Arabidopsis thaliana: one gene and its partners. The protein of the gene in region 4 interacts with the protein of the main gene of each other region in a pairwise test. Each region holds a gene or a part of one and is shown on either strand. Other genes may lie near its edges. The genes, in order: TEM1, AT1G63840, BBX26 and LBD38.

What was found.
Region 1: the proteins of LBD38 (region 4) and TEM1 interact in a two-hybrid assay, tested with the Arabidopsis thaliana proteins (one large-scale study listed by BioGRID).
Region 2: the proteins of LBD38 (region 4) and AT1G63840 interact in a two-hybrid assay, tested with the Arabidopsis thaliana proteins (one large-scale study listed by BioGRID).
Region 3: the proteins of LBD38 (region 4) and BBX26 interact in a two-hybrid assay, tested with the Arabidopsis thaliana proteins (one large-scale study listed by BioGRID).

Annotation. Positions count from the first base shown.
Region 1 is NC_003070.9:8,978,423-8,986,945, reverse strand, and holds TEM1 (AP2/B3 transcription factor family protein), read left to right. Parts: upstream 1-3,631; 5' UTR 3,632-3,969; coding exon 3,970-5,055; 3' UTR 5,056-5,390; downstream 5,391-8,523. UniProt on the Arabidopsis thaliana protein: Transcriptional repressor of flowering time on long day plants. Acts directly on FT expression by binding 5'-CAACA-3' and 5'-CACCTG-3 sequences. Functionally redundant with TEM2.
Region 2 is NC_003070.9:23,686,175-23,694,150, forward strand, and holds AT1G63840 (RING/U-box superfamily protein), read right to left. Parts: upstream 4,634-7,976; 5' UTR 4,318-4,633; coding exon 3,817-4,317; 3' UTR 3,429-3,816; downstream 1-3,428. Other genes in the region: AT1G63830 (PLAC8 family protein), read left to right, coding at 215-310, 395-519, 613-631, 730-924.
Region 3 is NC_003070.9:22,214,379-22,221,894, forward strand, and holds BBX26 (B-box zinc finger family protein), read right to left. Parts: upstream 3,455-7,516; coding exon 2,699-3,454; downstream 1-2,698. Other genes in the region: AT1G60240 (NAC (No Apical Meristem) domain transcriptional regulator superfamily protein), read right to left, coding at 1,041-1,568.
Region 4 is NC_003074.8:18,510,419-18,519,193, forward strand, and holds LBD38 (LOB domain-containing protein 38), read left to right. Parts: upstream 1-3,847; 5' UTR 3,848-4,046; coding exon 4,047-4,230; intron 4,231-4,324; coding exon 4,325-4,884; 3' UTR 4,885-5,713; downstream 5,714-8,775. Other genes in the region: AT3G49930 (C2H2 and C2HC zinc fingers superfamily protein), read left to right, coding at 1-475.

The DNA of each region.
Region 1 (8,523 bases), on a different chromosome or scaffold from region 4:
TGGAAACTATACAGGATTAATATGTTAGCAAGAGGAACATACATTCATTATATTAAGCATGATACTTTATGAACAACTAACTTTTTTTTGTTGATCACATGGAACAACTAACTTTATCTAAACAATATTATACAATATTATATATATATAGGTCAATTATATCATAAAAGTTGGCCAAAAGATGGCTTTAGTATGCGCCTAAACCCATCATACTGTATTATGAAAAAACTGTTCCGGCAACTAGTATTTTTTTTGTTGCAAAAGACATTTCGCCAACAGTTCGTCATTTTAATTGATATAAATGGTTGAAATTTGTTCAAGAGGAGAAAAAAAAAGGAGGTCAATTGACTTAATTAGTACCATAAAAATCTGCAAAAATGATCAATTAATTGCAAATAAAATTGCAATTGATTTTTTTTGTAAAACTTCCCCATAATTAATTAATCCGTCAAAACACATCACAACATCACAGTTAGAATTATAAAATGGCATAGTATAAGGAGCTGATTTGATCGGGAATTAAAACTATAAATACATCAATTAGGTCTGCAATAATGATTTTTAAAAATTAGGTTTCCAGTGAGTTGGTTATATACTTATATAAATAGCATGCTTAATATCACGTTTTTTATTTATAATTAAGAAAATGTGGGGAGCCACACACTAAATGATTTAATACAACTTAATTAGTTTTGGTAAGGTGGCCTAAGTTAGGCCATGTTATTAAATTACTACTCCACTGGATTTGAGTTGATTTGTTTGGCCAACCTGATTATCCCCAATACAAAAATACTCTCATGTTATTATAGACTGATATATCTGTGAGTAATGTATATATTATTCTCTTGATTATACCAAAATGGAAGATAAGAATCTAAAATGAACGACTGAGATGGAACTGTAATATTACTAAAAATAGGATGAAGTTTGGGTCCAGATAGAAGAAATTATGAGGAGGATGGTGCTGAGTGCTGACCTTTTCGTCCTTGGAAACATATCTCACTCGTTGTCTTCCCACTTGCAATATTGCATGGCCCAATTCTTCAATGAAACGACACCGTTTCCAGTTACACCAAACCCTTCTCAACTAATTTATGTTATGTGGCAATCTTGCATGTTAATTACATGTATTCAACACATGAGTCTATCTATCTTCCGATTAATTTTCCACCAAAAGTGATATAACTTTTGATAATAATTGAGACGGACCAACATTGTATTTTTAGGCAAACGCAAATTACTGTTTAATCGAAATTTTAGATAAAGTAAGGTAAGATCAGACCAAAAAAACAAAGAGCCTACTATTATAAAGTTTCGACATAAGAAGGTCAATGATGTGGATGATATAACCAATTGCAAGTTAATGAGACGTGATACATAAATTTCCTTAAATCTAAACTTGTATCCGGTGGTACTAGATTTAAAATATCCTTATAAAGTTCGTTGATATATACATACACACCAAACTCATTTTAGCTTGTTGTTGTTTGATAAAGATCCAAGATAATATGAAATCACTTTTTAAAAATTAATCTATTTAATGTCACACATCAACTATTTTATCTTTCCATTTCAGAATTTTGATTTTTTTCGGTAGAATATAATGGAGCTCTGATGAGTATGTGACCCACTAATCAAATGGTTCATTGACTAGCTCGGTTTTAAGCTTTAAGTCCTTGAGATCATTATCTTCAACAGAAGACTTATAAATACTATTTTATTTGAGGAAATGATAGGGTTATTCAACAAGTATATATATGCTCATCTTTTAAAAAGGGGATAAGTATTACTTTTGTTTCAAACAAAATGGATAAACATCTGAGGGAAGAAGGTAGGACCAATATAAAAGTGGAAAAATTAGGTACTCTGCTCCGTACAAGAATATGGCTCATGGGCAAAATACATTGGGTTTATGATTCATCTCCCCCCTTCACATATGTACAATGTATTATATCATGTTGTTCTTCTTGTCCCCATTCTTGATATCTTAAATATTTAAGTCCAATTCATATAATTGAGCAATAATTATGTTTGAACTCATTAGTTATTGCTTATGAAAACTGATCAAAACAACAAAAAGTTGACGTTTTAAGTTTTGCATTCAAACTAGGGCAACTGTGTTAGTTTTATCTTCGACGACGTGGATATAAGTTTTTTAAAATTATGTAGGTATAATAAATTAAATAGAAAGAAAAAAACTATATAATGAAACAAAAGAGAAACAGAGGAGAGTTTGATGGTTTAGGACGAATCTGGTTTATTTAGTTCAGCCAATAAAAGCATAGTTCCAATGCAAGTGGGAACATCAACTAAGTCTCACTACTTTTTAAAATAGTCGAATAAATCTGCATGCAGTACTTTGTTATGCGTATATAATATCAAATAGTAGTACAATTTGATAAAAATGTTATATGTTTAATTTGGTGGATCATAGAAGGATTAATTTTTATGATCAAATAACGAAGCCACGAAGAACTAAATCTGACCGTTTGATGCTTATTCGAGAACTATAACAATATTAGGACGTCATTCATGTATCTTTATTAAAAATATGTGATCTTAAACAAAGCTTCGTGCATAGATAAGAAGGGACTAGTCACTCTAATAAGATCAATAAGATATGTTGTTTCTCTTTGTAAACCGAAAATAGTGGGCAATTAGATCACGAGTCTTGGCTTTGCTGGCGTATTCCAACGTTGTCTTATCATTATCTCAAAATATTATTATAGGTCGTCTCATTTCATACCCGTCAAAATAATAGTTGTTCTTATATGTTTCGAACAAGTCACTTTAGGAATTAGGATGGAAAACATATCCTATTTGAGTGGTATTGGTTAATTTGAGAAATTGAGCGTAAAGGAAGACAATGCGTAAGAAAGGCAACAATACGTACTATGATTCTACGTACAAAGAAAGTGCTTAGGGGATAAAAACCAAACTAGGTAAGGACTTGTAGGAAACATAAGAGAACCTAATGATCAAGACCTCCCCAACTAAAGCAAAATATGTAAAGAGACACGTCATGTTCCAAATATGGAAGGACGAATATAGTTTCAAGAAAAGCCTCATGATCAAAGGGGGGATGCACTATTTAATTAGAGAATCACAACAAAACAAAACAAAAGGTCCAAATCTCATGTGAACCCCCTTCCCACTTGGCCCTCTATTCTATCCCCATTTGTGCTATTACACATCGCCCATTACTCATTTTTCTATCTCTCAACGAGTCAACTCTATTCAATAATTTTACATATCTTTCTACTACTATTCTTGTATGGACCATTCGATTTTTGGAAACTTCTTTTCTCTTAAAAAAACATCAATAATATCGGGCGAAATGTCAAATGTGGTTTTTCTTAGCCCTATTTACCATTCTTAACCACATCAAGAATCTCATTGCTAGTGTTGTAATTATTCTTTGTCCTTTAGTGAAAACATTAAGAAAAATTCATCTATTGATGTTCACGTTCTCTGTAAATTTTTTATAGACGCATGTTACACGTAATATATTATTAGTTTATTACCATATGAAGGGACTAATTATGGCAACAACAAGATTATAAAAAAAGGACTAATCAAAAGGTACCAAAATTAGTACGAATGTAATAAATAAAATAAAACTTTATGACACTAGCACACATATTTTTGGACTCTTCCCACGAAACTTCCTCTACAAAACACATTTTGCCATTTGTTGCAAGACTTGACCCTACTCCTCTGCACCTCTTCTCCTTTCTCTTTTATTTTATTTTCACCTTTCTTTCATAAATACACATACATTACCCACATTTTACATTTATCTCTTATTATCCTATTCAATTTTGACAAAACAAAACAAATAATATCAACAACGTACATGCACTTCCTTGTGTATATATATAAACTCCAAACCCCATCTCTTCATAAAGCAACAAAAACTTAACCCATTTCTTCTTCTTTTTTTGTTTCTCTCTCACAAACACAACAAATATGGAATACAGCTGTGTAGACGACAGTAGTACAACGTCAGAATCTCTCTCCATCTCTACTACTCCAAAGCCGACAACGACGACGGAGAAGAAACTCTCTTCTCCGCCGGCGACGTCGATGCGTCTCTACAGAATGGGAAGCGGCGGAAGCAGCGTCGTTTTGGATTCAGAGAACGGCGTCGAGACCGAGTCACGTAAGCTTCCTTCGTCGAAATATAAAGGCGTTGTGCCTCAGCCTAACGGAAGATGGGGAGCTCAGATTTACGAGAAGCATCAGCGAGTTTGGCTCGGTACTTTCAACGAGGAAGAAGAAGCTGCGTCTTCTTACGACATCGCCGTGAGGAGATTCCGCGGCCGCGACGCCGTCACTAACTTCAAATCTCAAGTTGATGGAAACGACGCCGAATCGGCTTTTCTTGACGCTCATTCTAAAGCTGAGATCGTGGATATGTTGAGGAAACACACTTACGCCGATGAGTTTGAGCAGAGTAGACGGAAGTTTGTTAACGGCGACGGAAAACGCTCTGGGTTGGAGACGGCGACGTACGGAAACGACGCTGTTTTGAGAGCGCGTGAGGTTTTGTTCGAGAAGACTGTTACGCCGAGCGACGTCGGGAAGCTGAACCGTTTAGTGATACCGAAACAACACGCGGAGAAGCATTTTCCGTTACCGGCGATGACGACGGCGATGGGGATGAATCCGTCTCCGACGAAAGGCGTTTTGATTAACTTGGAAGATAGAACAGGGAAAGTGTGGCGGTTCCGTTACAGTTACTGGAACAGCAGTCAAAGTTACGTGTTGACCAAGGGCTGGAGCCGGTTCGTTAAAGAGAAGAATCTTCGAGCCGGTGATGTGGTTTGTTTCGAGAGATCAACCGGACCAGACCGGCAATTGTATATCCACTGGAAAGTCCGGTCTAGTCCGGTTCAGACTGTGGTTAGGCTATTCGGAGTCAACATTTTCAATGTGAGTAACGAGAAACCAAACGACGTCGCAGTAGAGTGTGTTGGCAAGAAGAGATCTCGGGAAGATGATTTGTTTTCGTTAGGGTGTTCCAAGAAGCAGGCGATTATCAACATCTTGTGACAAATTCTTTTTTTTTGGTTTTTTTTCTTCAATTTGTTTCTCCTTTTTCAATATTTTGTATTGAAATGACAAGTTGTAAATTAGGACAAGACAAGAAAAAATGACAACTAGACAAAATAGTTTTTGTTTACATCTAATTTAGGATCTGTTTTTTCACCCTTTCCTGAAATATGATATGTGTTCTCCTCCTTAATCTAATAATCTTGTTTAATCTTTGGTTTATAGCCAACTTTATAGCATATTTTTCCAATTGAAATAGAGTTGTTATGAGTATATAATCCCACACTAATATTTATGCATTTACTTTCATATATACATAATATACATTATTGGAGAAAAATATCTTATACGATCTATAAGAATAGTATAATTAAATGTCAACATGTCCAATTAAAACATGGGTGCGATTCGAAAATCTATTTATGTGGTTGAGATGCTTAAGCGGAGAACAACGTCGATCGTTCAAAGATTTTGTACGTTTCTTAAACTAAGTTTAAAAACTGTTTTTTCGTGTACGATTTTGGGGAAAAACACTGACCAAAATAATTAAGAACATGCACGGAATCTAGATTACGATTTTAGAACCATTGTTATGTTTAATAGAAATACATCTCGAAGTTGATAATTATTTTTCTTATGCCTTAAGATTCATGCATCTTATTTATTTCACGAAGTATAGTTGTGTTTAAAAAGAATCAATTAGATCTTAAAGGCTACACATGATGTATGTGGACACTCGCATATAAGTTCATATATTGTTTTTATCATGACAATAACCACAACTTTTTGTTTCTCAATCATTTAATTACTTACGAGACATGCATTGGCAAGATATTTATATTCACTGGAGTAATGTTGAAATTTAGTAAATAAAATGTACATAAATGTATTTTCAGAATAACAAAAAGAAAACAAAATCAAAAGATCATTTGTTTATGAATTTATTATCGTCAACATATATTTAGTACTAGTTACTAAAACTAAACATAATTTTGATAAAAATTAATCCTTATAACAAAAAACGTAAATAGCTAATGATTTTTCTGATTAAACATGAAAACATGGTTAAATGTTCTAAAACTAGTGTAATCCCTTACATTTAGTTGTTGAATATTGCTCTCAATTCTCATGACTTGGAGCCCATGATGTACAAAAAGCCCATGCTCATTTAAAAGCCGAACGTTTGTTGATTTTCTAATGTTAGCGAACTTGAAACCTAAAACTTGTGGGTTATGGTACCACTTGAGATGACACATATAATATAAGCCCAACTCATGTTAGTTAAATTGTGACTCATTTAGACGTCTTTTCTTGGGCCAAATTTTACAATAAACATCAAAATAAGATTTGTAGAAACATTCTGAATTTCTGAGAGTGACAAAATAAAAAAAAAATACTTGGCCTTATGGAATCTGAAAGAAGCAAAAGCCTTCAAATATTTCGAGATATGTGTTCATCGCTCGAACAGTACAAGTATTTTATTTTCTTGTATACTTTTGATTGAACCATTAGGCAGTAGATGTGCATTAAATTTTCAACGTAATTTTGACTATAAATGTACGCAGTAGCTCCACTTCAACAGAAACTAAGTAAGACGTACATGTTTGTCCGTCATGCATATAACTAGTTCTCGTTAGTATTTACATTAGCTTTTGTATTAGCAAACTTTGCATGATGAGATATTGTAATTTAGGTGGTTGATGGCGTTGGAATGATTTCTCATTGGAACGTTTTTCAACTTTCTTCACTTGACATTTATTTTCTACTATATATATATATATAACTTTTTTTTGAGTTCGCAACATCTCAAAATTAATTTGCTTTTAATAAGAGAAATATAAACTGGTATAAAGAACGATGTAACAAATGAAATGAGTATTAAAAATTTCTTCTTTTTACAAGAATCAATTTTTATGTTTTAGTTTCTCAATATATAGTCCATATTTTTGGTCACACTAACATGAATTTTTTCAATTAATAAATTAGAGTGTCAAAAAACTTCACCGAATTCTTACACAATTTGTTTTTTTAGCAAAATGCATGCTATCGGTAAAAAAAATCGGTGAAGTTTTTTTTTGCTATTTTTGCCATTTTTCAATAGTAACTTTTCCATTTGACGTTAACCTGACTAAATAATTTTAGATAAGTTAATTCTAAATCAAAGGAACCGAATCCATCATAATTGACCTAGACTATGACAGACATCGTATAACTAATTAAATAGACTAGAATCCCAAGCTAATGAATAATGATATGCCACATCTCAGCAAAGTCTAAGAGCAAAAGATGAATGCATTAACGTAATTTAGAATCCATTGACTCGCCCTAGTGACTAGTATTTTTATTTTATTTTATTTTGGGACAAAATCCCTAGTGACTAGTATAAGATACGAATACACACCAAAAAAAAGTATAAGATACGAATAAACAAAGTTTATGCTATTATTTTTGTCGCAATTTGCTTGGTTTACTAAGGGAAAGGCTGACAATCTTGTCTACATTTTGGAAGAAAAGATTCAAATTTAAACCAAAAAATATCTAATATCAAAACATATCTTCTTCATAAATAAATAGGTGATGGTTAGCTGTATTTGAGGTAAAGGGAGGGCCACTTGGCCTTTAGGAGAAGGTAAGGGTCAGCAGCTTTGTTAATCCAACCTCTTTTTAGAGAGGTGTTTAACGCAATTTCAAGATATTTGAATCCGATGATATTTATCTCCTGATTACATGGATCACTGTCTTTGTATTTCAAGATATCCGTTTGAAAATAGTAGGCGTTACATGTATTCGTTTATAAAAAGTAAGAAGTATTTTCTGAAATTGTAATTTATTGAAAAAATCACAGTACGTTACTACGTTTCATAGAATACCCATGAACATTTTTGATATAGTAATGTAGTATATGTTCAACAAGTCATTAACATTGGTGATGACTTGTATTATTGATATATATGGTGGGGTAATGAATAATATAATGAAATAATGGTGAGCTGAACAAAAATATTGTGAAATTATCATGAAAATGAAAAACGTTCGATTCGTTTACAAGAATGATACCAAAATGAAAAACGTTCGATTCGTTTTACAAGAATGATACCAATAACTTTTTTTGTCACAAGAAGATATTAAGATAACTTCAAAGAGCAGAGAATATCGAAACTTTTTTTAAAAAGGCAGAGAATATACTTTGGACAGCACTGATATCATTTTTTTCAAAAGAAAATGTATTTGGTAAGGAATCATTTTTCTTGTGATTCTTTAATCAGTTGCATGAAAAATGCCAAAACAAATATATGCTTCTTCTTTTTTGAAATTCAGAATATTCGGCCACGGGGACCACACACCTCAAAACGAAAACAAACGAGAAATGGAATTTTAGACAAATTCTAGTACACGATACGACCCATATTATTTGTATACTATTCATTGATTGATTAATTTGAGCATTAAGAATCTGGGTTGGTCGTT
Region 2 (7,976 bases), on a different chromosome or scaffold from region 4:
GTTCAAATCTTATATAATGTGATTCCGTCATCTTTCCTAGTTTCCTCTGCTCTATATTAGAATTCCGTTGCTCAACTTATTTGACTTAGGAGATCACATTATTTACCGATGAGTGTGATGTTCTTGATATTTTGGCATTTAAAACCTGCTTGCAATAATTCAATAGATCTCTTCATGATTCTTATGAATTAGCATTTGCAATTGAAATTTTCAGGTCTTCCTTTGCTTCGGAAACTCTGTGGCCTCTACCCGCTTTCTTCTGCAGGATGAATTCAACATCCAGACAACACAATGCGACAATTGCATAATTGTACTCTCATACTCTCTTTTTCTTCTACTTTTATTGGTTTTACACATGTGTGAAACTAACAAATCTCATCTTGTGTGTTTGAAGGGATTTATGTTCTGCCTCAGCCAAGTTGCTTGCATATTCTCTATAGTTGCTTGCATTGTTGGTAGTGATGAACTTTCCGAGGCTTCTCAGATACTCTCTTGCTGTGCTGATATGGTCTACTGCACGTCTGTATTTACTTCTTGTGATTTTTAGATTCTCCCTCTAATCTATTCATGTTCACGAATTGCTAATATTTTGCGGTCTTGATTTTCTTGCAGGGTCTGCGCATGTATGCAGGTACTAGAAAGCGAGAATTAGAAACTTATCTGAGCTTCTGAAACTATCTTCTCTTATGGTATATATATATAACCCAAAATCCAATTTTCTGCTTGCAGACACAACACAAACTTGAGATGGACAAAAGAGATGGAGTGTTTGGATCGCAGCCAATGGGTGTGCCACCAGCTCAGCAGATGTCTCGTTTTGATCAACCTGTCCCTCCTCCAGTCGGATACCCTCAGTCCTATCCACCGCCTGCTCAAGGCTACCCTCCTGCATCTTACCCGCCTCCCGGTTATCCTCAGCATTAAGAAATTTAACCAGTATCTTCATTTTATGTGTCAAAGTGTTGTTGTTACTTGGTTTAGGTGTGCAGAACTATTATATTGTTCAGCTTTGTCCTCTGCTTATTTCTGCGATTTATTTATTTTGAGGTATTGGTACTCTGGTTATGTCTGAAAAGCTTTTGCTATCATCAACTGGTTTGTTGACTTTGGTATTTAAGTAAAGAAAAAGAACAACATATGTATTAGTTACCTAACTTGTTAACTCAATTTATAAACTTAGCAAGTTTAGCAAAACAAAACTAGTTAATTAATTTTGTTCCACAATACCATCAAATCCGAAACCAGACGAATGTTTCAATTCACAATCACAAACTACTTTTATAATGATCCAGCTATTACAATCTCAATCTCAGTCTCACTCTCTCTCTCTCTCTCTGGAAATCGCAAAATCCTACACGGAGGGATGAGATATGCAAACCGGTGTGGTTCTGGTTTAGAACTTATTACCAAACCGATTAATTTTGTGAGAATCTTCTGCATTGATCTCAATCAGTTAAGAATCTAAGTACAGTCTCAAACCGGATTTACAAGCAAGAGGTAAGAATTGTGGAAAAATAAAACTCGGTGTCAGTGGCTTTTTGGATCGATATACTATCAGAACTTACATATAGCAAACATCATTTGAAAGTCTGAAATTTTCATGATCAAAGTTGTTTGCATAAACTCTTACCTGATGAACAAAAAGTGTTTGGTAACATTTTTATAATACAAAAGGTTGATGGTATTAAAGAGGCTAAATAAGCTAGTTAATGCAAACCAGAGGAGGCTTTTTCCTTTTTTCGGAACATAATTGTCTTTGTAACACATGTGTACAATGTTCACTTTAACTTATTTATCGATTGTTTTTGTTCCAATTGGCGCACGAGGGTGGACGTGGAACCATCGAGGATGAGCAATGTTGCTTAGGGTATATCTAGGTATAATGAAAATGTCGAAAACTATAAACTATAGAGCTAATGATTCATTCATACCATCTTTTGAATTGCCTTTAGGCTTTGTAGTCAAAGTGGGTCAACCACAACAAATGTTCGAAGAGTTGTATATCAGTTTATAAAACGATATCTCCCACTATATGCTTAAAAAAATCACTGTATTCACAATTTTTTAAATCAAACTTATGTATAGTTTACTCATACTACTCTTCTATATTTCAATATAAGTTGTACAACTATCATAGTTTTTTTTTTATAATTGTGAGCAATGTTTTGAATCATCATATAAGATGGCGCAAGTTCTGGCTGGTAAACCACATGTAATAATGAAATGGTCAAAATAAAATAAATGGTTAAGATTAAACATAATTTACTATACGTTATTTTAACGATATACTATATAGTTCAAAAGGGTTTAATTTAATTTATGTGGTAAACGGAAAGCAAAAAATGATTAGAAACGTGTGGGCTCTATTGAGTTAGGGTATTGAAAGAAATAAGCACACGCACAGACAAGTCCACGTATGCCACGCCGCGACAGCATAACATACTCCAAAGTTTACATTCACATGGGAAGCTTCCTCGCGTCACGCCTTTGCACAAACCAGTTTTACATATTCCACTTTGCAACTCTTTCTATTACGAGACTCCAAATGATTATTTATTTATTTTTGTTTGGCTCTTAAAAGTCCTAATTCCCAATGATTAAGAGTTCATTTGTGGTCTCTTGTATAGACGAAAGATTATTTTTTAGTGATTAATGATAGAGATACAACTATATTTATACAAAGAAACCTAACTTTTTTTTTCCCACACAAAGAACATAACTTGGGATATATATACAAGTAAAAGTTCTAGTTTCAGTAGAAAAGTGTAAATTACACATATTTACTAGATAGCTCTTATATACTTATCTTCAATATAAATGATAGATATAGGTTAGCTTATTTTGTCAAAACAAGTAGCAAAATATAGTAAGCAAAAAATATGGTGAATGTATCTGCTAATTGATCTTTTGACGAAATATGAACAATACATAAGAAACCGGGAGTGAAAAACATGATTAGGATAAAATGATAGTCAAGTGCCACATGTTTCAAACAAGAATGAAACAAAATGATTATCCCATAGATAGATAGCTCCAGCATTGTCACAATAGATCACATGATAAATCGTAAAGGACACACCAAGCTCCTTTGTGAGAGACGTGATCAAACAAAAGTCAAATGCAATGTCCAAGATATATCTATATTCATGACGATTTCGCCATTAATTTTTGCTTCTTTCAAGACATGTCATCGGATGAGAACCTAAATACATGATGTTAGCACTTGTGGGGAATAATCATATCGGTTTCCGACTTCAGTTTTGTTATTACCACTTATAGAACATTTCAAATACCCTCAAATACATGTTGAAATATATTAGTTCAGCATGTTATAGGGATGAACAAACAATCTTATCTTCAATGACCTATGCATAATGCTTGTTGATTTTAAATTATAAAAGAAAGATATCATTGATGTAAGCCTTTAATCAAAAAACAATATGTCAGTATCATTGAGTTAGCCAGGTGAACAAGTAACAATTAAAAAATAACTTCTAAACAATGTTTATTAAAATACTGTACTAAAAAACTAACACATTCAGTATTAATCTGTTATAGCAAATGATTTTTTTTTTCCTTAACAAAAAAAAAAAGTTTACAACTTTATAATAACTCAAAATGTAATTTCATCTTTCAGGGATGGATAAGTACAAATTTTCTTCTTCTTTCTTTTTTCATTAACCTGTAACCACTACCTTTTTTTTTTTGTTTAATATTTACATCGATCTCACACCAAACCCAATTCCCAATGAAAGTACCAAAAAAAAAGGATTTAATATGTCTTTTTTTTTTGTTTGGACAAAGATTTAATACGTCCTAAGATGATGATTCATCAAGAAGTTGAGAAGAAACAGCAGAAGATTGAGACCAGAGCCTTTGATTAAACTCCAGTTGAAGATGATCAGGTATAAACTGTGTACGACAAAGTGGACACGTCATCTGATTATAACCCATCATCCAACGGTCCAAACATCCCCGATGAAATATATGTCGACAATTCGTCAGCCGTCGGATCTCGTCGTCGTTCTCGAAATCGTAGAGACACACTGCGCAACACTCGGATTCCGGTCGGTTTATATCCGAGAATCGAACAACCGGTAACATCTCTCCGGCTAGTATTGCTGCTGAGTCAGGTTTGGTCAACGTGGGTGGTGGGTCGGGCCATGAGGTTGAAACCGGTTCAGGTTCTAAGAAATCTGGTAGACCAATGATCTTGAACATTGTGGAGATGAGTTTACGTATCAAACCTAAGAAAGATAACAAGTAGAAAAAGATTTTTGGGAGAAGTAGCTCAGAATATCCCACCGGAAAACCCATTGCCTCGCCGTTAGAGAGATAAATGATAAGACAAGAGACAGAGAGAGAGAGAGAGAGAGAGTTTTGGATTGTGATGATAAGGTGGAGAATGGGTGAGATTTATATATAGGAATAATAACTTAATTAATGTATTAGTACTAATTTAATAGTCAATGAGGTGCTTTGTTTTTTGGTATTTTGATTCGTTAATAATTGTTCTAGATGAAGGATATTAGCCAGGAATGTGGTGATGATGTTTCTAGAGGTTATACTAGTAAATAATAGAAGACTACTTGACCTTTTTTTTTTCTATATAATTTAAATAAGGGTTTTAAATAATTTCTTATATGTATTTTACTATATAATAAACTCGTTACTTTCAAATTTCCATTTTAAATCAGATTTAAACACTAAATTTCTGTTTATTTAATTTTAACTTTCTTACAATTCTTGATTTATGAAGTGGTATAAAAGTTTTAGGAGAAAAGACATGTATACATGAAATACATAATGACATAATCAAAGATATTTACAATTGAGTATACATTATTTTTAATACGGTATACGGAGACAGAAATGTAACTTCTGCTTATAGCACCCAAGAATACACATAATCAACATATTACAAATGAAAAAAAAAAACTCATACCTAGGTTAACCCATGAGGGTTTAAATATATTAAACTTTTCTAAAAATCCCAAATATTAATTAGTCTATACTTTGGTTCAAAATCGTTCGATTACAAAATAAAAAAAATCGTGTTTTTATTTGAATCTTTGGTTCAAAATTATTGGATTGATGTTTTCAATGTATTTTAGCGTAACTGAATTTGGATTTTGACAAAGTCACTACAATACACGACTTATGTATTACGTTGTAATGTGTTAATCGTTAATTGGTATGGATTTTGACTGAGTTCTCTTTGAACTTCACTCATGTTCAAAGAGTCACTGCATCATAAATGGCAAAAAAGAAAAGAAAAAAAGAGAGTGGGAACTGCAACATAAGGGATCAGATCTGGATGAATGATCGAATTTCTGTTCTTAAAATACGATCTTCCTCCTCCAAAGCCGAAGGCTCCATTTTGAAGATGCCATCGGTGGATCTTGCAGTTTCTTCGCCATTATATTGTTCTCAAAATGCTTCTGATTCTTTATCTCTTTGTTAGATGAAAGAGAAATAAAACAATTTTGGGAATAATTATTTTGTTTATAATTTTTATGAGAAATACATCAAAATCAGAGATAAAAGGCTCGTATTTGTTTTACTCGTGATTTAGACAAAATAATACATTGAAACTCAAATGTAACAAAATCAAATAGAAATTGAATGACAGTGGATGTCACCGTGTCTTTGAAAATACATACAATTCCGTTAGAATACAATATTCAATAACCCCACTCTAAAAATTGATCTTTGCCTATAAGCCAAACTAGTCACATTCATAAATTATTAGAATTAAATTAAAATAGTCAGACAGACGACAAATAATCGAGGTGAAGACAGATAGTTAGGTTCATTTCTTTTCAGTTTGTCTGTACCTCTATTGAACTATGCTATAAGCCTATAAAGTATATAAACTATGAATATATACGTGTGTATTTTTTTAAAAAAATTAACTGTTTTAACAAAATATTGCAAAACCATTATTTCTATTTTTAATGTTTTTGTATGAGAAATTTTTGGTCTACATGATTTTATTTTCACATGGATGTAAATCATAAAGTATCAAGATTAGTAGTAAACAAAGGTATCACGATTACGTCGTTTTCTATGAAATTTTACCAGATTTTTTAATTGGCTGTTACGTTTTGGTATAAATATGGGTACCCAAATGTTACTTATGGTTGATAGGATTTGAGTTCAAATGCATATTATGTTTGTATCTTCACATCATTACATGACTAGTTGAACTATCATCAATCTACATATTCGTCATTTGCTATATTAATTACTAGCATTTTGAGAGTGTATACTAAGTATATTAAGACCTAAATTAATTACGTAGAAAAGTCCACATAGCTCTTCAATTTGGCTTTTGATTCCGTTATGTCAAATATACTTCTAGAATACAATATTAAGGGATCTATTTCTGAGGAAGAGCGAAAGTCTCATGTCATATGGGAATCTGACTAATGTAATGAAAGAGCCAAAAGCAGCACTGACCCACCTCACACTCTCTCCATCTTCTCCTCCAACATTTCACATTCCAAAATTTAACACTTTCTTTTTTCTTTTGCAACTATAACTATATACATTAACATAGTATATATATATATATATATATATACACATTAACATATATATATATATATATCAGTTAAGTACATATACGTCAATTTGTTGATGCATTTATCTAACTTAAATAACATTTCAATAGATAAATTTTCCCATTTGTATGTTTAATCCAATAGATTCTTGTCTTGTCAACATTTAAAATGTTCTATGGAGAACTTGAATCCACCACACGGTATTTGGTAAAAGATGCGAGAGAACAAAAAACATTAGGCTATTTGTCTATCACCTACGTTTAAGTAGATCAAGTTTAATTATCACAAACTCATGTATATATGTGAGTAATATAATTGGAAACAGGGGTTAGGGAATAACTAATTAGTCTAATATATATCACTAACTGTCAGGTTTTGGCGTTACTAGACAGTAGAGATATATTAACAGGTAGGACAGCTAAATCCAGCCATGATTCATCCCTTTTGTCTGGAGTCTGGACAATTAATATAAATACGAAATCAGATTAAGAATATTGAGAAAATAATTAGAGAGAAACTATTATATTTTCATATGATTTGGTAACCTAAATGTATTACTCAAGAGCAATGCTCAAAAAATAGTTTATACGATTTTTTTTACTGTGGAAATTAAATAGAGTAAGGACTATCGTGAATATAGGTTACGCATTTTTTTTTTTTTTTACGGTCTTTTATATGAAGGTCACTATTCAATGATTATAGATTTTTTTCGTATTAAGTTTTCTCCGTTTTAATTTTTAAAACTTTTATTTCCACTTATTTTCAAGGGTTAAATCATTTTTTGTAATTCTTACTCAGTATAATTATCGTTAGAGAATTTTTATATTTGAAAATGAAAGCATATTTATAATTTCAATATAGTTTTTTTAAAATCAAAGATACCTAATTTATCCTAATAAAAATTGTATATTTGCTTTTGTTATGTACGGATTACTGTAGTGACAACATGTTTTGCTTTAATTATTCGTTACAGGATTTAAAAATTATTATATGAAAGAGGATACAATAAAAAAAAACATTACAAGAATTTTGCTTTAAATTAAAAAAAAAGTAGAGTAAACATCTTTAAGTTGAAAATTGTCTGCTAATTCAACGGAAAACTACAAAATTCATTCCAGTTTTGCAAGTCAGACACTGTCGTTTTGTCAGTAAGCGACCAACTAATCACTCTATTATTTTAAACAACCAGCTAAACCATAATTAGCATATACTGTGTGTCTTTCTCAATCAACTTTATTCAATACAACCAATTCCACATTAGAACCAATTTTTTTTTTTTTTTTTGGTGTTCAGACTAATTCTGAAAACCCCTAAATTTTAAGCTACTACTAATTTTAAAACAAATCTGAGCTCTAATAATTTTTATATTAAATATGAATAAATCATACTATGTTAAATAATGATTGGTCA
Region 3 (7,516 bases), on a different chromosome or scaffold from region 4:
CCTTTAATATTTAGACACAAAATTGCTCTTTTTTTTTTTTTTGTATAACACCCAGCTAGTTTTCAATTTTCATAAAAGTACATGAACCATTTTTGTATATACTCAAAATATACACATTGCATTTCGTACGTAATAGAAATTTAACTTCGATATGGGTGATATTAAAGCTACTTTTGTAGACTTATCAGAAACCATTTTTTATTTGTGAATCTTTCTTTACTTTTTCATGGTGTATATTTTTTTTGAAGATTCATTATTTGATGGAATTTTCTACTTATCGTTTTCGTTTTGTAAATAGAAGCATTTAACTTAAGATTATAAACAGTTATTGAGAGTTAAGACATTGTAGAATTTTAGTTGAGTATATCAAGAAAATGTATTTTTTGCTTATGTTTCAAATGTACAATGAAATCTATTTTTGAAGTCTTTGATTACACTTTGATTTATTTATCATTTTGTGATATCTCCTTTTTTCGCAAACTAAATTTGGAATATTGCAGTATATTTAAGATAGCAACAACAATTTTTTTTTTGTGTAAACGCAACAATAAAATTATTTAATCGTAGGTAATGTCTACATTTAGTACTGTATATATATTTTTTGTTAGGTCAATTGAGAATCATGTTTGAGAGCAAATTAGCAATAGTATCAATGTATAAAAGAAAATTATGCCTTTGGATAGAGAAATCTAATCTTAGAAGAATTCCAAATTTGGAACTCGATAACAAATCCACCGACCAATCACCCTACATCTAAATATTTCTTTACAAAATCAACGCAATTGCATAACCAAAAATAACACTTAAAGATGCCACAGTTTTAAAACGATTCCACCAATCTTTCTTTTCAATTCTAGTAACATAAAGATTGTACAGAGACGATTTGCCCCAAACAAACAAAAAGATTGAACAAAGATGAATGAGAGAAATCAAGAAACTGGATAATGAGAATACATGAAAATTCCCAAACAACGGGTTCAATAACGTGACACCAAAAACAGTAATCGAGTGTTCAAATCCAGGATCAGAATATCAGTGATTCATTTATAGTAACCTCGAATGTGCTGGGCCAACATGTAGTCAAATGGTTGTGGATACAGACGTCGAATCTTGCAGATCACGTAATCTTGTTTCCACGTACTTGCAAACCTATACTCTTCCATCGCCCAGATTCGTCTATCTCTTACTCTTCTCTTCTCCTTTTCCAAGAACTTAAAAACCGATTTCGGTTTCCGATCAGTTTCACAGAACTTATAAACCTTCTTTAACCCTAGAATCTTCCCGGTCGTCACCGACTTGATCACTCTATCACGACCGATGATTCTCCAACAACCGTATTCACATCCATCGGTTAAACCTGAATTCACACTCCGATTAACGAAGAAGTATCGTCCGAAGTGTAGGATTATAGGATCTCTAGTAACGAAAAGCGTCCACGGATTCTTGCAGTACACGTCTTCGCTTCGGAGGAAGTGGCGAGGCCAAACGTTTACGTTATCGATCATCATCTTCAAATAATTTGCGACGATTGCTTCTTCGATTGATTGTTCACGTCTTGACTTCATCATCTTCGTTCTTCAGTGAAACTAAGATCTCTTAGAAGAAGAAGATTTAAGGAAAATGCTGATGATGATTGATGAAGGGAGAGAAACAAGAAACGGAAGATGTAAAATATGAAGATGATAGTGTTTCTTGGGAAAGAAGGTACTCTATATATAGAGAGGCGCTTCGTCATCTGTTGGTACCGTTTATATCAAATTAGTGAATTGACCGATTTGTCCTTTGTTTTTTTCTCTTCGATATATACACTTAACGAAATTATTCTATAATCTTTGCTTATTGAAATAATTAGACCGATAGTTGTCAATATTTGTATATTTTACTTTGGTTTAAAGATGTAATATTAAGTTCTTAAATAAGAACTAAATTAGATCTATTTAACAAAACGTGAAGAATTTGCATTTTTATTTCGTTCTTTCCTTTTACAAAATGACTATGTTTTCTCTTATTGAAGAAAATAGTCAGAAATAAAATATTAATAAAAATTATTTATTATACAAGCATATTTTCTTGCAGAACATCATGTAACTTTTTTTAACACAAAAAAGGTCATGTAAATTTTATTTGTACTATTTTTTGTCGTCATACTAATCAAAATCTTCTACTCTGCTTACTAATTGTGAGATATTCACGTAAAGTACAACAACAACATCAAAAATCAAGATAATTAGACGATTTTATTGAGAAAATCACATCCCCGGAAATATTGGAGTTGGTTCTTGACTTTCTTAAATAAAATTAAAATCGCAAAGTGAAATTTAATTTTATTGTTGAAAAAAAAATATTATTTAATTCCTATAAACCCCTTAAGCATCGATTGTTAATCAAATTAATTTGTGTTCTTAACATTTTAGCAAAATTGTTTTATGTTTTTTCGGTAATTGTGGTTTCTAGATAGTTTCTAGTTAAATGATGAGATATACATACATCAAGATATGATATCTTCCATCCTCGAACAAATTGGAGTTAGTTTTGACATTTTATTTTCTTCTAACATATTAAATCCAACTGATTGTTTTTTTTTTCTTCTTCTTTTCTTTTTCAAATCCAGAAGCAATTATAACACCAAGAATTAAACCCCTAACGAAAACTCTAAGAAACACACATAAATAAAAAGCTAAAGAAGACGATTTTCTATTCACCTACCAAACCAAGAAAAATCATCAACATCATCTAGATAATCATAATTAATATCTTGTTGAGGTAGTTCTGTTGGGGGCGTAACTGGAATCCCCTCTGCCGCAGGAGGATGAACCGGTGGGAAATTAAACTGATAGCCGCCAATGAGAAAACGGCGAGAAGGTCTCTTGCAGATTACGCAAAGCTTACACCTCGAATGCGGCGGCACCGCGTCCTCGTGACTGTGAATCATCCGGTCGCAACTATCGCATAGAATCTGGTTGTGTGTAGGACAATAAACAACAGCATTTGAATTCGAAGCTACGCATAACTCACATCTCATTGCAAACATCCATCTCTCGCAATTGTTATCCCCGTGGCAGCTCCTCTCAAACATCTCTGCTCTTCTTTGGTGACCACCCACATGCTGCTGCTGATGATTATTGTTATTGTTATGGTGAACCACATGAGGCATATGTGCATGATCATGGTGTTGATTATTCATGTTAGCGAAGACGACTTGAGTTTGATGGCCATTAGTGGCACAATTGTAATGGTGCGAATAACATGATTGACAAAGAACCATCCCGTCCTCATAACAGAAAAGTATAGACGGATACATCGAGCAGTTATCGCAAAGTTGGTAACGTACGTGTTCTGCATGTATGTTATTATGATGGCGAAGGTTGTCACATGTAAGGCAGAAGTTAAGAGCTTCTGTAACACAATGGATCACGGCTGTTACATGTCTACATGTGTGACAAACTTGAGCCATGTTTCCTGAAAAATATTCATATAAGATTATAACAAAATTATCAACTTCGCAAAACGGAAGAGAAGAAACACGAATTTAAAATAAAAAAAAACATTCAACTTACACGAACCAAGGAGAGAAGGAAGCCAAAGTTTTGTTTTCTCTGTGAAACAATCTGTGAAGCTCGTATTTAGATGGAGTTTCTAATTTGTAGATTTTTTTTTAACAAACTGATTATGTAGAAGGATATATTTTACTAAGTTATATACTTATCTTTAACTATAAATTATTCTCAAAATTCAACATTACATTTATTAATTGAGAATAAGAAAGAAAAAAGATAATTATATGATATTTGAAAAATTGATCCTTGTTTCTCATTTTTTTGTTAAGAATAAAGTTTTTTTTTTTCCTTTTATCGGATCTTAAAGATCAGTAAGAATAATGTCGTTTCTTAAATTTTGATGTAGAAATCTTTTTTTTTTGAAGAAAAAAATATCCCAACTTTATCAACATAACCAAACGGGGGACAAACAGGTAAATTAATGAGTTTTTTTTTTTTGTATAACTATTTTGCTTTAGAGTTTAGATTGTTAGCTTAGTACTTACATACTTAAGTTTCTGATCAGTCTTTGTTATGATTTTCACATGTAGGTAGGAAGCTGCGCTTTTGTTCTTTTTAATGTGGAAATGCAGCCTTAACAATGGATGGTATATGAATTTGAAGCTGCTCTTTTGTGTCTCTTTTTTGATGCGGATTAGCATGCTTTTGTGTAAAAAACAACTTTGCTAAGAGTTACTAACTATTCAAGTGTTTGTATGGTTCTGTAATATGGTTTTTTGATACAATGCTAGCTTGAACTTGATGTCATGCTTAGGCCTGGGTACGAATTTCTTTTTAGCATTTAAAAACGGGCAATTCTTGTATTCAGCATCTGTGATTTCTCATTATTTTGTCGTGTAAAGTTACTAAACTAGTTTAATTTAGAATTTATAGAAAAAAAGAAGTGGCTCTCATGACAAGTAGTCTAAATTCAGTAGAACATAAGAGTTATTTCATCACAGTACTAAGAGGAAGAAGAGAAGTTGCTCTGCAATTCCTTGATGCCTTTGGAATCAAGAAAAGAAGTTTTGCCCTTGAGAAAATCAGAGTACCAATGAGCAGAGAGTCTAGGAGATCTCTTGCGATGTGGATCACTGAAATTTACAGAGTACAATCCATAACCATAATCGTACCGCCCTATAAGCTCGAATAAATCCATAAATGACCATACAAAATAGCCTCTAGTGTCTGATCCATTCCTACACGTAGCAATGTCCTTTTCCTTAATTACACGAACAAGATAAGAGAAGAAAAGATGCAATAAAAAAACTTTACTTACCTTATGGATTTGAGCACACCACCAATGTAAGCATTCATGTATTCCACCCTATGTGTATCCTTGTGTTGCGTCATCGGTGTACCTGTTTGTATATGACATTTTAAGTCCAAATCAAAAACATGAGGGAGAGACGAATAAATTAATCATAGAAGAGATTGACCATTCTCAAGAATGTAGACAGGAGGATTGTCATAGCTCTGCTTTATATACTCTAGGACAGCTTCCATAGTCCACGGAGCAACAGGATACTTGTCCAAACAAAAACAAAACAAACAATGAAAGATAGATTAGTAGCACTTATTTGTTTAAAGACTTATAATGTCAAGGAATATAAGGTGTTTTGTATCTGAATTTGGTAGCCTTAAAACTCTTACCTCTATAACTGAAAAATTCCCAAGGTCTTCTAACCAGTAAAACGAAGAAAAAATGAGTAGTAACAAATTATAAAGATAAAAGAGGTTTTTTTTTTGTTATACAAAAGAATGAGTCTGATTCATACAAGTCACATATGCGCCCATGTCTGAGTAGAAGTCCGGGTTTCCAGAAATAGAAGGTTTGAATTTGATGTTTGTGACAGAAGCCGCAAACTAATGATTGATTCCTATGAAGTCAGATGAGCCTTTAACTTGTTCTGATTCTTCCTCTGAGAAAACTGGCAGTCTTGATCCAATGGTTCTTTTCATTGTATCTGGATAGTCTCCAAATATAAGAGGTCCAAGGAACCTGAGTTTTAAAGAGCAGATTTTCTTTCTTTTCAGCTTAAGATCTTGCACATGTTGCCCAATTTGAAAAACCTTTTAGAACTGTTTGTGCCTGACTCACCAACCGAAATAGAAATCTTTGGCTCTTTGAGTTGCAATGGCATCATCCTTGGAGCTTGTAGAAGGAGTCAACCCCATTAAATATAAGCCAAAGCCTATGGAACCACCCTGCTTATCCTGCACATTGTATATAGTATGTTGCTTCTTATACATTCAAAAGAGGGTTATGTATAAGCAAGTATACCTTGTACTTTTGCTTATATAGTCTTGAAGCAGAGGCGTGCGCAAGAAGTAAGTTATGGCCTACAATATATGTTTCAGTAGAAGAGTTCCCTAACAAGCAGTTTTTGCCCGGTAAAGAACAACGACCAGGCGGTGTATCCCCATCGTTGTAACCTCCAATAGTAAATACATTAGCCTCATTGATAGTGGTCCAGAATTTGACATAGTTCCCAAACTCTCTGAAACAAACATCTACATAAGCAGTGAAGTCTTTGCTACAATGCCAAATAACACCAAATTTAGTTTCACATAATACTGTCCTAGAAAATCTGTAAAAGAGATTTAATTAATGTTGTTTTTTCTTAGCCTACATCATCATATTGTTGACCCATCCTCCATATTCATCCTCAAGATACTGAGGATGATCGTAGTGATACAGTGTAACATGTGGTTCAATCCCATGGGTTATTAATTCGCTGATGAGGTTCTTGTAGAACTGTAGACCCTTTTGGTTAACAGAGCCTCTTCCATCTAATGAGATAAGAGCTAATTATAAAGTTGATCCCTTCAAGTGAAACAAAACCGGCATAAATGTTTAAGAAGGCTTACTAGGTATTAGCCTAGACCAAGATATAGAGAATCTGAAGGCATCTAAGTTAGTGTCTACCATCAGCTTCACATCTTCCTACAAAGTCACAATGAAGTCAGGCTTGATGAATAAACTATATAATGTAGTAGTAGTCACAAGGAGAGAGTAAAGCAGAAAAGAGAAAGAACCTTATACTTGTGATACCCATCACATGTTACATCTCCGTTACCAATGTTACCTGAAAAGTTAGAAACGAAAAAATTGATCAGAAGCATAAATAATTCAAAGGCAACAACTAATCTCTGTTTCTAAATATATCTGTTCAAATACTGATGCTAATAACAGTTTATGTTAAAATGAAAGCTTACGAGAGTAACAAAGAGTGTCCCACACGCTAGGTTTCCTTCCATCTTCCGCAGCAGCTCCTTCCCACTTGCAGAGATCAAACATTTGGTTCAAAAATTCCAAAAAAAAAAAAAGCTTAGGAATTGATTCCAAACCTGATAAGCAGAAGTGCCAGCTCCGAAGAGGAATCCCTCGGGGAAATCAGATCTGCTGAAAACGTCGCTGCATCTCCCGGGGAAAGCAAAAGATAGAAAAATGGTAAACAGAGCAAAAAACTGTTCCATTTCTAATGCTCTTTCTCTTGTACTGCTACTAGAGATAATATTTGTGTGACGAAGAAACAAAGTATATGGTCCACTGTATTTATTTAAAGTGTGTAACACGTGTTGAAATAAATAACTCTAGCGTTTTTACAAAAAAAAAGCCTTTAGTTTTGAGTTTTTCATACATTATTGGGATTTTTTTGCACTGTTTTCAGTCCATTTTGAAATAAGAAGCAATTCGGTTATCAATATTTGATTGTAAAATAAATGAAAACAAATAATATTCGAATGAATTTATTACGCTTCTCATTATGACAACGGATTCATCAGAATATATTATTGCAATTCATTACTAGGAGTAAGGAGAGAGGTTGCTCTGCAATTCCGTGATGCCTTGAGAACCAAGAAAAGCGGTTTTGCCCTTGAGAAAATCAGAATACCAATGAGCAGAGAGTTTGGGAGATCTTTTGCGATGAGGATCACTGAAATTGACAGAGTACAATCCATAACCAACATCGTAT
Region 4 (8,775 bases):
GTATCTCGCTCTTTGCCTCCTTATGCTCGCTCGTGGCTCCTCCGATCATCACTCTCCACCGTCGGATCATCACTCTCTTTCTCCACTGTCCGATCATCAGAAAGATTACAAGTGTTCCGTCTGTGGCAAATCTTTCCCGTCTTACCAAGCGTTAGGTGGACACAAAACAAGTCACCGGAAACCGGTTAGTGTCGATGTTAATAATAGTAACGGAACCGTTACTAATAACGGAAATATTAGTAACGGTTTAGTTGGTCAAAGTGGGAAGACTCATAACTGCTCTATATGTTTTAAGTCGTTTCCCTCTGGTCAAGCATTGGGTGGTCACAAACGTTGTCACTATGATGGTGGTAACGGTAACAGTAACGGTGACAATAGCCACAAGTTTGACCTAAATTTACCGGCTGATCAAGTTAGTGATGAGACAATTGGAAAAAGTCAACTCTCCGGTGAAGAAACAAAGTCGGTGTTGTGATTATTATTATTTTTTACCGATCGGGATTAGCTAGTGGTTGATCATTAGCTGAGTCTGTAATGAAAATGATTGGAGTGGACTTTGGATTATTTTAATTTCTGTTTACGTATATGGAAAGAAAATAATCTTCAAATGTTTATTCGTTGTTGGTTTTTGTTTATAAAAAGTAAAAAAAAAAAAGGATATATTTGAAATTATTATTAATTTTGTTAATAATAAAAAGAATTGGATTAATGAAAATTGAAAACTACTATTTCATGGAAACTTCCTACTGTTGTTTTTCTTCATTACTTGATTAATTTTTCATTTACTATTTCCGCAAGCAAAGGAACCACTTCTTTGAATCTGTCACTCCCAGCTTGAAGTGATCTGTTCCTAAGAATTTAACTATTTGATTAAACATTTCAGATTTCTATTTAAAAACATAATTTGATAGGAGAAATAGTATTAATTTTGGGTTATGTTAGTATTAATTATTGAAGTAGTGATAGATCGGTTAGTAGTACCTAACGAAGCTAATCCTTAAGTGGCTTGTCGACTTTGATTGGTTGGCACTCACACTTCCCTCCACGCTTAAATTATTTTTATAATTCTGTATTATTTCGTTTTCACGAGTTTTACGAGTCTTTTAATAATTAATTAATTGTATAATTTGTTACGATAAATATCTTACACGTCTTAATCGATCCCAGTTCTTATGTATCTTCTAAGAAAAAGAGTAGTTATACATTCCGAGAAAAATATGGATATTGGGTATTTTCTGAATTAAATGCCGGGAAAATATTGTTTTTTTGGTGGCACAAAAAATTGACTTATAATTATTCTTTATAACTATATTGTAGTATCTGATGGTTAAGAATTTTTGGAATTATTTTAAGATTTGTTTTTTTCTTGTCAACCGATTTTTATTTAGAGTTCAGAAAACTCATCCCTTAAAAATGTTGTTTATATATGTGATATTATGCGGTTCGGTATAAACTTTTCGTCAAATTAAGATTTGGCTTTGAAAAGACAAAAGCAAAAATTTTAAATCTAAAATGGTGTGGGAAAAAATAATAATAATACCTTGCTAAATAAGACGGAAAATATGTCGTGCAGCTTACTGCTTATACTTACATCTTACATTACCTATTAGGCTATAACCTAATGCTTGTGTTATAAGTCTGTAAGATTTGGTCATTCATTCTCTTTGTACTATTGTCTTCTTATATTGCTAGAAACTTAGAAACTAAAGAATTTCACCAATTTTTGTGGGCATAGTATATAGCTTATTAGCTTGTAATAAGGCCTAATAAGGCCCTCGAGCGTTACAATAACATCCAAATTAGTTTTGGCATGGTACCGTTAAAGTGGTGTTAAACTATTAATTTACCAAAGACTCATTGTTTGGACTTTGGACCATACGAAAAATGCAGTAGAGCCCATAGTGACATAGTGTACCGGCTCTTATAGCTGAGAAATTATATCCCAATTAACAGCCCAGTATTTAATCATTTAGAACTCAACGTGAAAGAGGACATGTTAAAGCCCAACACAAGTCCATAGACTCATGAAATACAAGTCCACAAACCCACCTTATCTAACCATGTAATTAGGTTTTATAGCATAATATAATGAACATCAATGAATGTAAGTAGGAATGCAATTTGTGCAACCTCTATTTGACAATTTCTTTCATTTCTTCTCAATAGTTTACAAGTCTCATACATTGTTTTTGTTCTGTTTTCAAAGAAATAGTTTTGGTTTTTCTATTGTATGCAATATGACTTCCCACTGTACATCATAAACATTGAAGTATATATAATATTTTTTCTATTGTGTTCTGCCGTACGTCTAACTTATAATCTATTTTATAACATTGATTTTACTAAATATATAAAGGTAAAATCTATCTTGTTGCATTCACTTCAGAAAATAAATTTTTGGAAGAAGGGCCACAAAACAATACTAATTTTCAAAAATTGAGATTGAAATTATGTTATAAGATTGATATTTAAAATAGGAATACCGTTGTAAAAATAAGTAGTTGATTTATCGAACATCTAAGCATCTGTTTAACACCAATTTTATGTCGTTGTTGATCAAAACTGTCGCGTTCAAGTGTCTTGTGTCGACTAATTAAGCAAATGAACTTTAGGTACCAGAAGTTCAACGAAACAATAATGCATTTTTAAATTACTAATGGACTGAAGTAATTGGGAATAAAGAAATATAAAGAGACGGCGGCATTCAGTGGAAAATTTGCCTAATTGGAGTGTAGGTAAGCACACCACGTAAGCCATGAACGGCGCCGTTTCACCGCATTGCTATAGGAAAGTAGAAGAAGACACTTTGACTTATTAATATCATTTTGTTGTAGATCTTCTGTTCATCATATATTTGATTTTGTTACTAGCTAATGTAAAGGAGAAAAGAAATGTTTGATTTGGTCACACACGTGAGACAGCATCGTAGGCAAAAAAACGCCTCTATCTTTCTTCTAAAACATTTTTCATATTAAATTATCAAAACCCTTAAGGTTGATTTAAGGGTCAGGTAGTGGATTTGTTTCGTTGAAGGGTCAGCTTAGCCTTAACCCTAAACAAAACAATCTCATTGGTTTCATAAATAAATTGTTTACAAAGTATACGTACTGCATGAACGAATGAACCATATCTATATTTATAAAACTCATAGAGACCAATAGTTTAAGAGAGGCACTTATATAGCTCAACAAATAATAGCGAACTAGAGAGAATATGATCTAATTAGTTATAAATCTCAATTTTGAAATTGAAGTGCGTTATTTCATTTGAGAATCTATGTGTTTTTTTTGTTGTTGTTAGATGAGAAGCTAGGTTTTTTTCTTTTCTTTACACCGATAATCGATAATATATGTTAATCACACTGATTTTTGTTTGAGACATGAAGATTCGAAAAATTTGTCAACGAATAAACACTGGATAGATAGAATTGAGATCTGCCATCAAATAATCGAGATCGTTCATGCATGACGCAAACATTTATATAGAAATGAAGCAAGTAAAGAATATGAAAAAGAATAGAAATGAGAAATTTATAAAGAAAGAAAAAAAGAACCAATGGTTGAGGAGGCAACTATTCGCGGGGACACGGAGCCGTTCGCACCCATCACCTTGGAATCTCTCTTTCTTCCTCTCTCCTCATCACCAACTAGTCAACAACCACACACCATTTTTAACTTTCATAATTAAACCTAACATAACATTTTTTTTTGTATAAACTATAGCATAAATTAAATTCAGTTAATGATAAAATAAATATATTTTGTAGCAATCATTCTATTTTGTAATTTGGTAGGGCTCTTTAAACTTTGATTATTATCCAATTTTTATTAAAATATAATAAAATCTCAAAGCCATGACCCATTCCTTCACTCAAGTATCAATGTCTATTGTCTATAAATATTACATAACTCTTCTTCTTCAACCAAACATTGAAACACTTTGTCCCACTCTCTCTCTTTCTCTTTCTTGTACCAAAAGCTTTTTGAATCTCCAAGATTATAGCAAAACCAAAGATAAAATACTAACTTAAAAGATTTCTGAAAATAATGAGTTGCAATGGTTGTCGAGTTCTACGAAAAGGTTGCAGTGAGAATTGCATCCTCCGTCCATGTATTCAATGGATCGAATCACCTGAAGCTCAAGGCCACGCCACCGTCTTCGTCGCTAAGTTCTTCGGCCGTGCCGGTTTAATGTCTTTCATCTCCGCCGTACCGGAATCTCAATGCCCTGGTACTTAAAAACAAAAACCTCTCGGTCCTTTAGATCTTCGTCTAAACGTTGTCGTTTTGGTTTCTGATGGTAAGGGTATTTGGTCTTTTTACAGCTTTGTTTCAGTCTTTGCTATACGAAGCTTGTGGGAGAACTGTGAATCCGGTGAACGGAGCCGTCGGATTGTTGTGGACGGGGAATTGGAATGTTTGTCAAGCGGCGGTTGAGACGGTGCTTCGTGGTGGTTCTTTAAAACCAATACCGGAGCTTCTTAACGGCGGTGGATTCGCCGGGTTTCCGTCTCCTACTTCCGACGAAGCTTCGGAGATCTGTACGGAAATGTTGAATCTACGAAAAGCTGATGATTCCGGTGATCGGAACATTTATCATCACTGCCGATTCTCAAGCTCTAGATCTAGATCAAGATCAACAGCTTCTCCGCCGAAACGGAAACGATTATCGTCGGAACAACAACCTTCGTCGGAGCTTGATCTCTCTCTTATTCCTATTTATCCGATTAAAACCTTGCCGTTTAAGGAAGATACACCGTCGATGTACTCGGAGGAGTCTGTTACCACGGTTTCGTTTCAAAACAACAACGCCGGTGATCGGTACGTACGCTGCGGCGGAGGAGGAGGAGGAGCAACGACAAAGTTGCTCAATCTCTTCGCTTGAACGGCGTCGTTTTTGTTATGAGGGTTAAAAATGTAATTTCGAGTAACTTTTTGTTGTGGCCTTTTTTGGATTAATAGCCCTTAATATTTTGTGAAATGTAGCAAATTACGTGATTTATTTCTCTCTTTAATTATGAGAAATTATCCAAAGTAATAGAGAATAATGATATAATTCGTCGGTGGTGTACTATTTTATTTTTAGTTCATAATCAATTAATCATCATTCTCATCGAATTCAAATTAAAAGATAACAATGATAATGTGTACGATAAATCAATACTTATTAGCTACTAAATTATTTGTTTTTATCGACATATTCAACATTAATAATAATAATCACGAATCGGAGTCAAAATATACATCTCTCCAAATCCAAAGCACCGGCAAAGTCTTCGCACCCAACATATTTCGATTCTTTAAGGACCAACATGTTGTAATGTACACACAATCATACACAACTTGCTATTTTGATAATCATCTTGATTACTACTCGCAAAACAAAATATTAGCATTTATTATCTCCAGGTTTATTGTCTTTCGATACTACATTTGTTATTCAATGGTTTAATGATACCTAGTAATAGTATAACACAATAGTACGTATTCCTCGAGATGTGATGATCTTTTTGTGATATCTCAAATTATCCTATACTAGTACTGCAACGGTCTTCTTCGCAACACTCTCAATGGCATATGTACATCTTCATGTGTTTCTTTCTATGTTTAAGATTAGTCTACCACACATTCTCCGGATGAATACAAACTCTAAAAAAGATTAAACAAGGTGCATTACATAATATAAGTAATTGTATGTATAGAGTAGATATGCATTATATAATGCATGTAGTTGGGTTGAACCCAAAAAGTTGGGGTTATAAAGGGAAAGCTTTTGGGGGAGGCGGCTTTTGGACGACGCAAAGAGCCGTTTATGTCACACTTCATACCTTCGTGGAATCTTCAAAAGCACTCTTTTTTTATTGTTCTTCTATTCTTCTTCACATTTTGTTTAATAAAAACAACAAGGTATTGTTGCTCTATGGATGATGGCGTAGAAACAATGAAATTGACCAATAACATGTTTGCTTTTGAAACGTTGAAATGAGAATGGATTGTTGTTGGAACAGAAGAAGTGATTTGAAGATCTTATGAAGTGGGACATATTTTAAATATACTTTCGACCAGCCAGTCACTAGTGGGCAAACAATTGCTTGTGGTCCACGTCACTCTCCTTTCCTTTTCCGACCACCGGACTCTTTATGTTATTTTTGAAAAATATAAGTTTTTAGTTCTGACCATTTCAAGTTTTATCAACAACCGGGTATCATCATTCGTTCAATCTCGTCTGTTTTTTACATCTAATTAGTGTCTAATCATGAGTTACAAAATTTATGGAGCTAAATTTCTTTTTCTACTTTTAAACTATGGAGCTAACTATACTAGACGAATTCGCTTTTTAAAAATTTGGGGAATACAATATAACAATATGGATGGATAAACATGAATCCATCAAGTATAATGAGAATAAAATAACATTAGCAAGATTCGTGTTTAATGCCAAAAGCCACGAGCAGCCGCAGTTTCTTATGGGCCCAATACTTTCATCACCTTCTCCACTTAAGTCGGTGTGTGTGAGTCCACTTGATGTTTTCTTAAACTTTTCTTCCGAAAACGAACAAAACTTTAGTTAATTATTTGTCTTTGGTATGAATGTCAAGAAAATGGTAGTTAAATTAGTAAGGAATAACTAAACTTAAATAATCAAGTTGAAAATTAAAACCCTAGGTCTCACATGATTATGAAACATTTACTACTTTGTGTATTCCAAAAAACATGGTGATCAATAAAAAAATTTGAAGGTGAAAACAAAACGACGTGGATTATCAAATGATCACAAGAAAACTAGTCAATCTAAATAGAATATCAAATAACGACAAAAAAATAGAATATCAAATAATTAATTAAGACCATCAAAATCAAGTTGGTATTCATAATGATTCTGGATAAAATACAGAATTAAGTAAGTGATTTTTTTTGGATATATATATATATATATATATGATTTTTTTTTGGTGTGTTAATTCATAATGATTCTGGATAAAATACAGAATTAAGTAAGTGATTTGTTTTTGGATATATATATATATATATATGATTTTTTTTTTGGTGTGTTATATATATATGAATGATAATAGTAAAGTAATATTTTCTCATTATTTCAATTTTTATTTTTGCAAAAGTTATATATACATGATTATCTGACTCTCAAATAAAACAAAAACTAGGGTTAGCTGAATATTAGCTACCAAATAACATTTTATCAACCGGTAAACACACATTAGACCATAACATCTTGATATGTAACCGTACATAGTTCTTGATGAATTTTTTCGTACATTACTATACAAAGTGATATATTAATTTTCTGAAACTCAAAAAACGTTATGCTTAAAGCTGCATATATTGTAACCAAAGACTTTTTAATAAATTTTACATTACAATGATTCAAAAAAAGAAAAAAAAGTGATATATTAATTTCTACAACACATATTTGGAAATTTTTGTAACTGAATGTCATCATGTCCCGATTATCCCCAGAGATTTTGTATATGAACCTCTTTAAAAAACAATCTCAATTGTTTGTTTCTTGCTTTTAGTTTTCTCAAGTCTTTTGCTATTCAAGAGTTTATCGAATAAGTTTCTTGTGGATCAATATCACTATCTAATTTCTAACGATTGATTTTGTTATTAATATAGATGATCATAAGACTTAGCTTGGTCTACATTTTTTGTGGTTCTTAGGGTTTTGTGTGATCATTCTTCGAGTAAGGTGAGGACCCAAGAGCCATCTTGCCCCTTCAAATCTTTTGTTGGCCGTACATTCATTTACACTTAATTAGGATATTCTTTTCTTAAAGCAAAAATAGAGTTTAACAAATAAAATATAAAAATAAGATAACTCTAGTCTTTGATCTTTATCGACTCTTCTAATGTCGGATTGATTCAAGTTTTATAGTATGATTATTAATGAGAACGTCACTAAGATAATCAAGTGCTAATCATAATCCTTTGCGAAGGCTGTTTTTTGTAAATTTAAACGAGACTTTGGAGGAGCTAGAAAGGATCAGTGTTGAAGATTTGGGAGAGATCGCGACAAGGACGTGAAATGGATGCGACACGTGACTTTCACGTGACTGGTTCCCTCATCGCTGGAACACATAATCCACTCTTTCACCTATTGGGTCCTACAATAGCTTCTTATCTTTGACTAAATCATTTTTCATGTTGTAATAAGTAACTAGAAGATGTGCATATACGATACGAATTAGAGAATACATACGTCCTGATAAAAATAGAATATATATATATATATATACCGACAAATTAATCATTTTGTATTCTTGGAAAAATTATTTCTTCTGCTCACCTAACATTATTAACCACTCAATAACCGTTAATATAGTTTGTCAATTCTCATTGAGCTGAATAACTAGTTAAATACATAGTCTCTAAATGTGTATAGTGTAAATTGGACCAATCAGGAAAATGAGATCTAATTATTCATTCCTTTTCCATAGGGTCCTTATTTCTTCGTCTTTTTTTTTTTTTTTTAATAATCCTTTATCAAATGTACATGATTGTAAACTGTAATATTTTCTATATATTAAAAAATATATAAAATATCTTTAAAAAATGATTTCAAGATTCCTTAATATATTATAAAATTTTAAATTAAAATCACAAATCTTTAAGTCTAAATTTTTGAATGACGTAAATGCAATTCTCTTTGTATAATATAATTCATTAAAATATTTAAAATTCAATTTGTAACTTTTTTTTATAGATGAATTTTTATATATTGTATGATATTTATATAGCTTTTTAATTTAAAATA